Linked DNA regions of Daphnia pulex. The protein of the gene in region 2 binds, or shares a complex with, the protein of the main gene of each other region. Links are inferred from orthologs where the notes say so. Each region holds a gene or a part of one and is shown on either strand. Other genes may lie near its edges.

Evidence for each region. The genes of interacting proteins can lie anywhere in the genome.
Region 1: the proteins of uncharacterized protein LOC124198601 (region 2) and kinase suppressor of Ras 2-like are in contact, whole or in part, in a cryo-EM structure (PDB 8BW9), measured with the Drosophila melanogaster proteins. The link is inferred for Daphnia pulex from reciprocal best matches to the Drosophila melanogaster genes cnk and ksr. Residues at the interface, in NP_001286524.1 of Drosophila melanogaster: Lys79, Asn80, Asn82, Gln84, Leu88, Glu183, Asn187, Ile190, Gln191, Ile193, Ser194, Asp195, Pro196, Val198, Leu199, Gln200, Pro201, His288, Thr289, Met291; in NP_001287177.1 of Drosophila melanogaster: Arg900, Gly901, Met902, Lys903, Gln904, Ser905, Leu906, Ala907, Gln910, Ser911, Gly912, Arg913, Lys916, Asp917, Met920, Tyr925, Lys945.

What each region holds. Positions count from the first base shown.
Region 1 is NC_060019.1:3,433,708-3,439,971, reverse strand, and holds the start of kinase suppressor of Ras 2-like, read left to right. Parts: upstream 1-2,122; 5' UTR 2,123-2,492; coding exon 2,493-2,666; intron 2,667-2,725; coding exon 2,726-3,011; intron 3,012-3,072; coding exon 3,073-3,321; intron 3,322-3,382; coding exon 3,383-3,536; intron 3,537-3,965; coding exon 3,966-4,213; intron 4,214-4,284; coding exon 4,285-4,425; intron 4,426-4,500; coding exon 4,501-4,617; intron 4,618-4,692; coding exon 4,693-4,842; intron 4,843-4,928; coding exon 4,929-5,102; intron 5,103-5,171; coding exon 5,172-5,291; intron 5,292-5,384; coding exon 5,385-5,593; intron 5,594-5,660; coding exon 5,661-5,834; intron 5,835-5,907; coding exon 5,908-6,093; intron 6,094-6,182; coding exon 6,183-6,264. Other genes in the region: replication factor C subunit 5-like, read right to left, coding at 1-3, 72-149, 531-605, 675-811, 883-1,042, 1,112-1,274, 1,372-1,415, 1,487-1,570 and 1 more.
Region 2 is NC_060023.1:3,772,619-3,777,647, reverse strand, and holds the end of uncharacterized protein LOC124198601, read left to right. Parts: coding exon 1-1,213; intron 1,214-1,800; coding exon 1,801-1,906; intron 1,907-1,990; coding exon 1,991-3,172; 3' UTR 3,173-3,399; downstream 3,400-5,029.

The sequences.
Region 1 (6,264 bases), on a different chromosome or scaffold from region 2:
CGACTAGACCACAAAAACAACCAAAATTAATTTAACAGTTGTAGAGCTTATTGGGGGAAAAAAAAACTTACTTTTGTGAACGTATAAGTGCGTTTCAGTTAAGATATCTTGCAAAGCGAGGCCTTTGAAAGTTTGAAGATCGCGTATTTCTATGATGAAAATAAAAACGAACAGAAACTTTATTTCTAATGACTAGGCGATAAATAACGTCTTGATAAATTTCCAGAACATGATTCTGATTAATATATACAGTCATGCCAGCCTTAGAAGGCAAATTCGTCTACGTAATTTTTTCTTGACGGAAAGGATAGTAGAATGGATACCCCGACCTCTTTCGCCAACTCATTCTTTCCTTAATATTCTTGAATTTTCCTACATTAATATTCAGCCATTTATAGGAACGATGAGAATTCTACTATCCCTGCCGCCAAAAAAACCCTCAATTATGCTGATTGCCAACTAAAAATAAGTTAGTCATGCAACCCCAGATTTAAAAAAAGCTTATAGCAATTCTAGAGCAGAAATCTTACTGCTATAAGCTGAAGTTAAATCTTCGTTTAACATCCACGAAACAACATTTGCAATATCCGATTTAAGAGGATGACCTGGCAGGATTTAATAAGAATTAAAAATGTGTTTCCATGAATCATTAGCATACATCATTTTTTTCATACCGACGCAAGTGTAAACATGATCTTCATTCACTTCATCAAAAGCCATTGAGGTGCTTTGAAGAATATTTATGACACGACGCATGTCGCCATGAGCTAAGCTCAACAAAGCTTGACGCCCATCTTCCGTGACCTTAATTCTAATTTGGAGAAAAGATTTTACAAAGTTTAATAAATGTTTGATTAGAATAGTTTAATTTTCTCCTCTTACTTTTCTTCTTCAATTACGTAATTCATCCGAGGTAAAATTTGATCTGATTTTAATGGGCCGAATCGGAAACGAGTGCAGCGTGACTGGATAGCTGGTATGATCTTACTCATGTAATTACAGATGAGACAAAACCGAACATTTTCAGTAAACTTTTCAATTACTAGAAAAAATGTATCATGAAATGGTAATGATTTATTTAATAACTAGTTGGATCTCTTTAAAATATCACCTCTTCTAAGTGCATTTTGAGCATCATTAGTCATAGCATCAGCTTCATCCAAGATAATAAGTTTGAAGCCTGATTTGAATATTGATCTTGTGCTAGCAAAACTCATGATCTGATTTCTTACAACATTGATGCCTCGGTCATCAGAAGCATTTAGTTCAAGAACCTTCACATAAAATAAAAAGTTTTAGATTGTAGGATGTCTTTGAACTAAGAAAGAATGTAATATAACATGGATATTTTAATTGTGTAACATTATTCACCATGGAATTGAATTGCTGGGGTGTATACAGTTCTTTCGCGCATGCTAATTTTGAATGAATTGATTAGTCAAATCATGAAATAAAATCTAATGTAATATTTATTGAATATTAATACCAAGAATGGTGCTTGTTTTTCCAGTTCCAGGAGGTCCATAAAAAAGTAAATGAGGTAATCGATTTTCATTTATGAACTTGCGAACTGCAAATTTTTATTAGAGAAAATGCAATGCAATGAAACATTTTTGAAAATTAATAGAATTATATAGAGAGTTACTTGTTGAAATGATATCTTGGTGAGAAATCAAGTCATCCAACTGTTTTGGTCGATATTTTTCCACCCACGGCAGATTTCCCGAGGAAGTCATTTCCGAAGAAACTCTAGATACCAGAGGCCTCTTATTATGATTATTTAGGTACTTCCTACAGATATGTTCTATAACTTGTTAGTTTTTAAATTGATTAAACTTATTAAATTAAAAACAAACCGAAATTGTATGGAACTAAATGCACGTCGTCTTCTTAGACAAGTAAAGCGCGCCTAAAGTAACTTGACTTGACACCAATGCCAATTTAATCGATTTACAAAACTAATTCCATTTAAAATAAAATAATAAATCCATACAAATAAAATTATTCACCGTATTTTACAAGACCAAATGAATTGAACAATATTTTATAACTGATAACATTAAATCACACTAAATCTCGATTCAACACCAGTTTAATTTTTCGGACCATAGATGGCTACTACACAATGCAGAAGTACGCGGACTGTAGTGGAAAAAATGGAATAATCAGTGATTCTATTGATACTGACTGACTGTAATGTATTGCAATACATTCGCTTATGATGGCATTAGTTATTGTTGTTATGGCGTCTGCGAAATTGGAACTCTGTGCATTTTCGTTCGTTTAAACCGCTTATACACCGCGATGGATTTCTAAAACATTGGATAGTCATATAACAAAGAAGTACGGTGGGTGAGGAAGCCTTTGGAAACATGATTAGTCGGGAGTCCGAAGAGCTTTGAGTGTTGACGGTTTGCGTCTGAATAATATGCAATTTCGTACGTAAAGTTCTGCAATAACAACCAAAGTACTAGATATAGATACCCTTAAGAATGGATACTGGAATCACAAAGAAAGCTGTTGTTGTGGTCAACAGCTGTAACACCATTCAAACGCTCTTAGATATCAATGCAATGATAGACATTCATGCTAAACATCTAGAAGGGTTGAGAACCCAGTGCTCTACCAGTGCTGAGTTGATTCAACAAGAAATCAGAACCATAGAGGTAAGATGTTTACTATTTAAAAGAATTTTCTGAATTAAATCATTTCAATATTTTAACAGGGTAAACTAGTCAAATTATTCAGCAAACAGCTAGTTGCAAAAGCCAAAATTCCCATAGAGGGATTACCATATGAAGTCAAAAACATTCCGTCAATCAAGCAATGGCTTCAAGTTGTTGGAATATCTCAGCCATCTGTTGAAACCTTGTGTGCCAAATTTCAATCTCTTGAATCTTTGCAAGAACTCAGTGATCATGAAATTAAAAGGATCTTCAATGAGTGTTCTGCAAAAGAAGATGAATACAGGCGCTTGATAAGAGCACTTCAGAGTGTTAAGAGATATACTGGTAAGATATTCATTTATAAAAATGTTTAACTGATCCAACTCTAAGAGCTTTGACATTGCAGAAGTTCTGGTACATAATGAAAAGGAAGGTAATAGTGGCCGAACAACACCTGACTTAGCGCTTTACTGGGATTCCTGGGATAATGCTACAAAAATGTCAATGCCAATGTCCTCTAACATACAGCACAATGACAGTGTTATACAAAATTCATCCCCCATTCAAAGTATAATAACTGCCCATGAAACCATTCCGCAAATGACTTCGGAAAACCGCAGCCCTCCCTCTACTCCATCTTTATTAAAAGGAAGAGGTAAAATACATGGAGTCGGCTATTAACTAGCGTGGTTGAAACTAATGAAATTCCAATTTAGGAGATCGTATGAAATTCCCTGCAACTCCACCACCTCGCAAGAAAAACCAGGTTATTGGTGGTACTGCGCCACTATTGACGGATTTCCCTCTTACGAAATCTACCTCCCACGAATCCCAGCTAGCCAATAGAATCGACGGAAATGATATTATCAGGTAAAAAAAAACTATTCCTTTTATTATTCGAAAATCTGAGCGCATCAACAGTTCTAGCGAAATGTTAGAATTAATGTATATTTTAAGAAATGTCTTGGAATTGTTAAGCGAATGCACATCATCACGAAGGCTGGCGATGACAATTCTCGACCAGAAGAACTGCATCAGAAACATTTAACTGACGTTCATATATTACCTAGCATGAATACTGATTTTTTGTTCTTTATGATCTTTTTATTCATTTCCCCCATCCATGTCCTTTACTAACTAACTATGTTTCCATTACCTTCAAATTGGGTTTACATGGCTTATTGGCTTGGATTTAAATATTTTGGTAACAACATTAATCCACGTTCTACTCGTGGTAATTAAATGGCCTCGTTATTGTCGCGCGTGAATGGGTGGTGGGTGTATAACTTTTCTCTGTAGTGGTGCCAGTACTATGCTTCTGTCCCGCTTTCGTCGTACCAAACCTAACGCTTATTGGCTGGGACGTAGCATGGAACACTTGGCGGTAACTGGAAGCAGTTCTCCTGTACCAACTTCGAATAGCAATTTGCCTGGAGCCTCGCCGGCTGGTGCCGTGCCAACTTCCTCAACCCCGTCCAAAGGGCGACACCGATTGGCCACCGATCCTTGCAGCATCACAGACGACTCCAATGATGACATACCAAAATGTAATTTGCATTTTTTTCCCCTTAGCTTTTATTGTTTGTTTTTTTTCCAATGTTTCATGTTTTCTGTTTAGCAACTGTTGCGACGCCGAAATCTCCACGGACTCCCACTGTTGGCGGACCGGCCGTTATGGCTCATACCATAAATCACCGATTTACGATGACTTTCAAGATGTTGACAGTATGTGACCTCTGCTTGAAGCAAATGTTCATAGGCAAGTCTTAATGGGAAAAAATCATATCATAATACGTACCTTAAAATCATTTCTTAATTTTTTGTCTGGTTCTAGGTCTAAAATGTAAAGATTGTAAATATAAATGTCATCGGGATTGTGCCACCAAAGTACCGCCGTCCTGTAAACTTCCACCTGGCTTAATAGACTATGTTCGTCAGCGTATCAACGATGGTAAGTGATCTCCATATGTTAAGTAAGACATCGAATCTTTTTAAGTTTAGTCAATCACAAAAAACTCATCTGCAGGTCCTCAAACGCCGATCATGCAGCGAACAACTGGAATCAGTAATACGATTGGTAGTAGTACGACGTCGGTTCCGTCTCCTTCGTTGAACCGACTCACGCCACACGACAAGAAAAAGTCCAGGACACAACCTGCCATTCATATGAATCAGGGTTTGACTTCAATTTACTTTAGTTTTCTGTGCCAAACATGTGACTGGACTTCTGAAGTAAAATTTTGTTCACAATTTTCTTCATAGGAGGTGGGTCGACGTCCGGCTTTGGTCTACACTCTACACATTTTGATTCAAGTTCGACTACATCTAGCTGTAGCAGTTCAACTCCCTCAAGCCCAGCTTTAGTTCTACCTTCGCACATTTCCGCAAATCACACGCCAACTTCGGCATCACAAATCACACAATTCCGCTTTCCTGGTACTATTTAAAACTTAAAAATATGTTTCAGTCGTAATGATGTAAATTTTTACGGTCATCTAACAACAGATGTTCGCCAAGCTGATCGAGCACAAAGTGCCGAAACATTGTTATCGCCATTATCCCACGTTCCATTGTCGGCAAAGAATAGTACTTCCGTTATCAACTCTGTCACCACCCTAAGTCCAGGTACCATAATTGGTTGGAATTTTCTACATTCTAGACCGTGTTTTAAATGTGTAACGAATTTAAAATTCTTTTCTCAAAATCTTGCTTTGGCAGCATCCGGAAATCCTTCCGTCGAGAACTCAACAAGTGGACATGCATCACAAGATTCGAATAAGATTATCTCCGTGTCTGGTCTTTCTGGTACTTCGGGATCAAATTCGACGAGTACAGATTCGGAGCGCACCTACAGAGTTGATTCGCAAGACAGTCAAATCTCTGACACTGAAACATCGGGAGATCGTCATTGGCCTCGCCAAAATAGCGTTAGTGAATCAAATTTTATTTATTTGCAATTTGAAAGCAATTGTATTTGTTTTTCATTTTCATTAGCTGTCGCTTCGAGAGTGGGACATACCGTTTCACGAGCTCGAACTTGGAGATCCTATTGGTCAGGGTAGGTTTGGTACCGTTCACCGGGGCATTTGGCATGGTGATGTGGCTGTTAGACTCTTGAATATGGATCAGATTGGAGATGAGAAAGTTTTAGAATCTTTCAAACTTGAGGTAAGAAATAATAATTTTTATTTTCTCTTCACTGTTTGTGCTAATTCACATTTTTTCCCCATCTCTAATTCAGGTGGCTACCTTTCGTAAAACTCGGCATGAGAATTTAGTTTTATTTATGGGTGCATGCATGAACTTGCCAACCTTAGCGCTCGTGACGAGCATGTGTAAAGGCCTGACCTTGTATACACATCTTCACTTACGCAAAGACAAATTCAGCATGAATAAAACGGTTATTATTGCCCAGCAAATATCTCAGGTTAGTTGGTCGTCAGTGAAAGTTCTGTTGTCACTGCAATTACGCGGATTATTCATTGATGTTTCTGTTATTACTACCTACAATCTTAGGGTATGGGCTACCTTCATGCACGAGGAATCATCCATAAGGACTTAAAGTCTAAAAATATCTTTTTGGAAAATGGAAAAGTTA
Region 2 (5,029 bases):
TGGCCTCCACTCTAGGTCGTAGAAAAGGGAAGATCCCGCCTGCATTGCCCCAGCCGAATTCGCACAAAAATGTTCCGTTTGGAGGGACAGCGACTTTAGGTCGAATTAAAAAGAGTCCTGAAAATCCCTACGTCTATACAGAGGAGAAGAGTCCTCAGTCTCCTTCGAAGGCCAATAACCGGAGTCCGATGGCAGCCAGTTTAGATCGAAAGTACTTGCGTTTCTTGCGCGTTGCCCCCGAGAAACAGCCAGTACCAACACCCCAATTTCGCAGCTACCGTAAACCTTGCCCTTCGCCGTCACCAACTGCCACTTCTGCGCCGACCGCATTACCTCCTTCCCCTTACTGGATGGACGGATCCAAACCTCCACCACGGCCTCCTAATGAGTCGAAACCGGCTTCGCCATTCAAACCGCAACCGTCGCCAACAGTGATGAAAGACAATGTGGAATCAAACGGATCTTCATTTGATTTCTCATCACCGATCCAACCAAAGCATGCCCAAGCTAGTCGCCATTCGGCCGAACGTGCTGCCCCGCGGACGAACCATTCTGATGCCATCAACGCCTTCCGAAAAAGCATCAGCACGTCAAAGTTGCCCAATACGCCTCATTTGCAGCAGACTAACCTGAATACCACAGCAGAAATATCGTTGACGGAAATGAAAGAACGTCCTGGCTCTGCAACGGTCTTTCCACGCCGTCCCAGCCGACGACACAGTATTGAAATTATCGATACGAAATCTCCCAAATCTCCCGTTAAGCCTCAGTTGGCTCCGAAACCCAGCAGCGCCCGAATCATGGGTCGAAACGCTGGATTAGATTCTTCTACTGACGTTACGCCTACCGACGGAGTCCAACGTCGAGCCATGTATGGTTCATTGAATCGTTCCAGCTGTGGTGACACAGACATCTATGGCAGTTTGGAATCCGGTTACGCCAAAATCAAGCCGCGTAATTCTAGCAGTGCCAGCGACTATTACCGAAGTGGCAGCACTGGAAGTTCTGCCACTCTAAGTCCCCACAAGTTGGAATCTGTGGGTCGCCGTTCCAGTGTGAGCTCTTCGAGGCGGTCAAGCACCGATTGTGGTTCCACCGTCAAGTCTGGAGGAGTCAGCAGCAGCCTTTCTAAACTGCCCTCACCTGGTGCTTCCCTCTCACCCGCTTCACCTAGCCGAGGAGTGTTTGATTTCAACAATGTGGATCCTTTTGGGTATGAACTGAACTTGTCTGAAACTAGCTCTTATGTCAGGAGGCATCGCTCTAGGACTCTTGAACTTTTGAATCTACCTCAAGTTCCTTTCTGGTTATAGTTGTGCATCACTATGTGATGTGTGGACCAACTTCGTCTGCAATTTTGCGCACTATATGGCCCGTAAATTGTTCGTTAGGGCTTTTTCTTTTTTCGGAAGTGGGACTATTGTACAGACACTATTCAGTAAAGGCAGTCAATAAAGTACATTGTGCTGACTTTGCCCCCCTTTGCTCTGACTAACGAGCCCCGTCGTTATAGTTGGCTCACTAAGCGGGGATTTCTTTTGAAGCCCCCCTTCTCATTAGGCTGAATAGAGTGTGGGGTGGAGATTCCAGAATACAGTGTGACGACACTCCTGATACACCATTGTTAGTGCGTGTAGTGAAGAAAAGTAAACTATATTTTCACTAATGAGCATCTAGTCCGTTTTGATTCCATTATATTTAATGGAAAATCTCTTTGGAAGCAACATATAGATAGGGAAATAACCTTTTGCATCAAATGTATATGGATACTAAGTTTGGTTTTTATGTTTCTCCAAATAGGAAAAGTTATCGTCAAGGTCCGCCAGATCAATTATGGATCAATTCTTTACGCAATGGAATGACCACTAGTCCAGGAAAGCATGGCTGTAGTCCCGATCGTCCAAAGGTAATCAAACGCATTTAATTGTTTCCCTGTGTATCATTTTCACGAGAGATTTTTACTCATTATTCTGAATTTCACCCAAACCAGAACTCGAGCGCCAGGCTCAAAAGTACATCCTGTTATCAGCCAATGAATTTCCCGCTCAGTCCCAAAGACGACGCCAAAATGAGAGCTGCTTTTGAAATGAATTTGGACGTCACGTCTCCTGCGACGCCAGATCCTGACATTCAGAAAAGCACCGGAGCTGCCGCTGATGCGAAGCAGTTCTTTAAAATGTTGGTTTCGCCTAAATTCGGACGCAAAACGACGTCGTCCTCGCCAACCATTCCAGCCAAAAACAAAGTTATTGAAGCGTCTTCACCCCCGTTTACGACTGCCACGACACCGTCACCCCGTCTGCAGAAGACACTTTTGGGGTCACCGCGGCTCCATCGGGCTATTTTCGGCAACTCTAGAGATAAACGTAAGAAGCTGTTGGAAAGTGGCGAGCCCCACTTGCGTCCGTTTGTTGCGGAAGAGTCGGCCACGAATTTCGATGAGCGTACGGAAGCAGACGAATCTCAATCGAGTTTTAATTCGTCCGTCTCGAGCGAGTTTTCTCCTCGTTACTCACCGGCGTCGACCATCCATCATCGTTCACTCCATCGACCGCCCCCGTTGATCAGCCCGTTACAAAGTCCGTCGGTTTCCAGCAACAGCGGAGTGCTCGTCATGTCGCCTTTTGAAGATAGCAGCGGCAGTTGCCCGGGAACGCCGAAAACTCCGCTGCTCAAGCCGGCCATGGGCGTGTCGATGATCGGCAAGCAACGACGAACTCCTTTGGGTCCCGATTCGCCGTTCGGTCCGCCGTTGAGTCCAGCCTTTTCAACTGGGGGTGGAGGTTCTTTGCGCCACCATTCCTCGACGACTCAATTTCCGTACACGCTAACCCCCAAAGAATCGTCTCCCGCTCCAGCACCGCCATTGATTCCGTCTAGTGGAGAACTCGAGTACCCGCCCGTTTTTGAGCCGGGCACCTACAGTCTGTCTGAGAAGAATGTGGAAATGCATCTGACGTCGACTCGATCTTCTTTGACTTCCTCTTCAATGCCGCCCGTCCCAGCACCTCGCACTAAATTTCTATCGTCGACCACTAGCCGCCTGTCACATTCGCCGTCGATGGAATCCACTTCGAGTTCCAGGGAATCCACTTCCAACGTTTGCCAGCAACACCGCGTTCACGTGCGTCTGGAAACGGGTCGCTCCATCGACGAGTCATCCAATGCTTGAATTTAGATTGAATTGCGTGTTCTTCTTTTTTTTCTTTTTTACTTGTTGTCTTTATTTGAAGTGTACGTGGTGTTTTCGTCGGATCTGTGATGTAATGACGTTCTTTTGTTTCGAACCCGCTGCCAGTTTGCAGTTTTCGTCTTCCAAATTCACCGACCGTTTGCAATTTCATTTCGGTTTCTACACAATTTTTCTTGAGCCAAAAATATAACCGCTTTTTTCTCGTTTCAGCGCTGTTCTTGTGTGCTGCTGCCCTCACATCTAGATTGGCATTGGATGTAGTTGGTTGACTTGCCGACGTTGCGTATAATTTCATTTGGTAAACCACGAAAGAGCACCGCCAAAGAACGTCCGTGGAATATCTGCATCTCATTGTGAGGCCGCTTCCCTGTTTAGGTATTCCGTCTCGGTCGTCAAACAAGTCACTGAGAGAGAGAGGGAGAGAGGGCATCTATCCTCAAACATCAAAAGAAAGAAAGAAAGAAAAAATCACTACCCAATAATCAAGTTTGCTGTTCGGACTTGACTGAATCTGCGCTCTCTGACCAAAAGTTTGGGAGATAGCAAACAGCAGGAGATGTTGAATCACCATATATCCAGATCGCGATTCATGTCTAGTAGTTCATGCGCTGAGAAGAAGAAGATGAAGTCTGGGTATTTTTTTTTTCTTTTTCCCCCCTCTCTTTTCAATTAAAAATGCAATTGCGGGAACTTCCAAGTTTCGCAACTCAAGTTGTTTATCACGCTTGGCCGTCGGTGAAAGACCCCAAGGTTATTTTCCAGTTGTGTTTGTCTTGTCAAAAGCTGTACATATCCCGACGAAACTTGTCTCTCGTAGAGTAGAACACTACGAGAATGGGGAAAGAAAAGCTCAATTTCATGTCAGGTTTGTTTTGGGGGGTTGTTTTATCTTTCTTTTCAGAAATTAAATAATTGTTTACCGTGAACAACCCAACATGTACCGTGAGTTGGATTTTTTCAAGTCCACTGTGTATGATGAGTAAGTATTTTCTTTTTTCTTAGAGTTTTAGACTGCACCCCTTGACTCTGCTGCGCTGGTTTGTGCAACGTGAGATGCGTGAAATGAAATGATTGTTATCTATACAAACTGTGATGGGAGATAAAAGGGTGGAGAGAATAATAACGAGGCACGAACTGAAACAGAGAAAATGAGATCGAAAGAAAAGGGGGGAAAAACAAAAACAACCGAAATTTTTTTGACAAAAGGTGATGAATATAATAATAATAATATAATAATACAAGGTGTCAGTGTGACATTACATAGCGACGTAACAGTTGTGAGCATGGCCGGGCTGTTGGATGAAAAAGACCATCAACGGTCAGGAACTCTTTTTTAAGAAAAAGACTTAAATCCATTTTCTATCGAAATCCGTGACGCGCGTGAGAACTTGCGTCGCGGTCCGTCGCCTTTTTCCAAGTGTCTCTCAGACCCGTTTTTTTTCTTCTTCCTCTTCCTCGAGTGGCTGTTGTGTTGTGATTCCCCGAGTTTATTATACAACAGCAATTTCGAAAAAGAAGAGGGAAAAAGAAAAATGAGCGTGAAAATAGTTTGCGCGCGCGGACACCTGCTGGCTGTGACAAAAGCTCTTGGCCGCTCACGTTTGTACGCCTCGTTCGTGTATTGCATAAACGGTCGTTTAGAGGAGAATAGGAAAGAAGAAGAAAAAGGAAAAAAAACTCGATGGGTTTCTTCCTGCTTATCACGTCGTCTTGTGTATGCCACAGGGACGCCAGCCAAAGGTGTGGGCCGGCACAGGATATCAGCAATTCAACAGTCGAATTGCTGTGGCAATACAGTCACGCCGCGTCGTCGACGTTTTCTTTCTCTACCTTTTC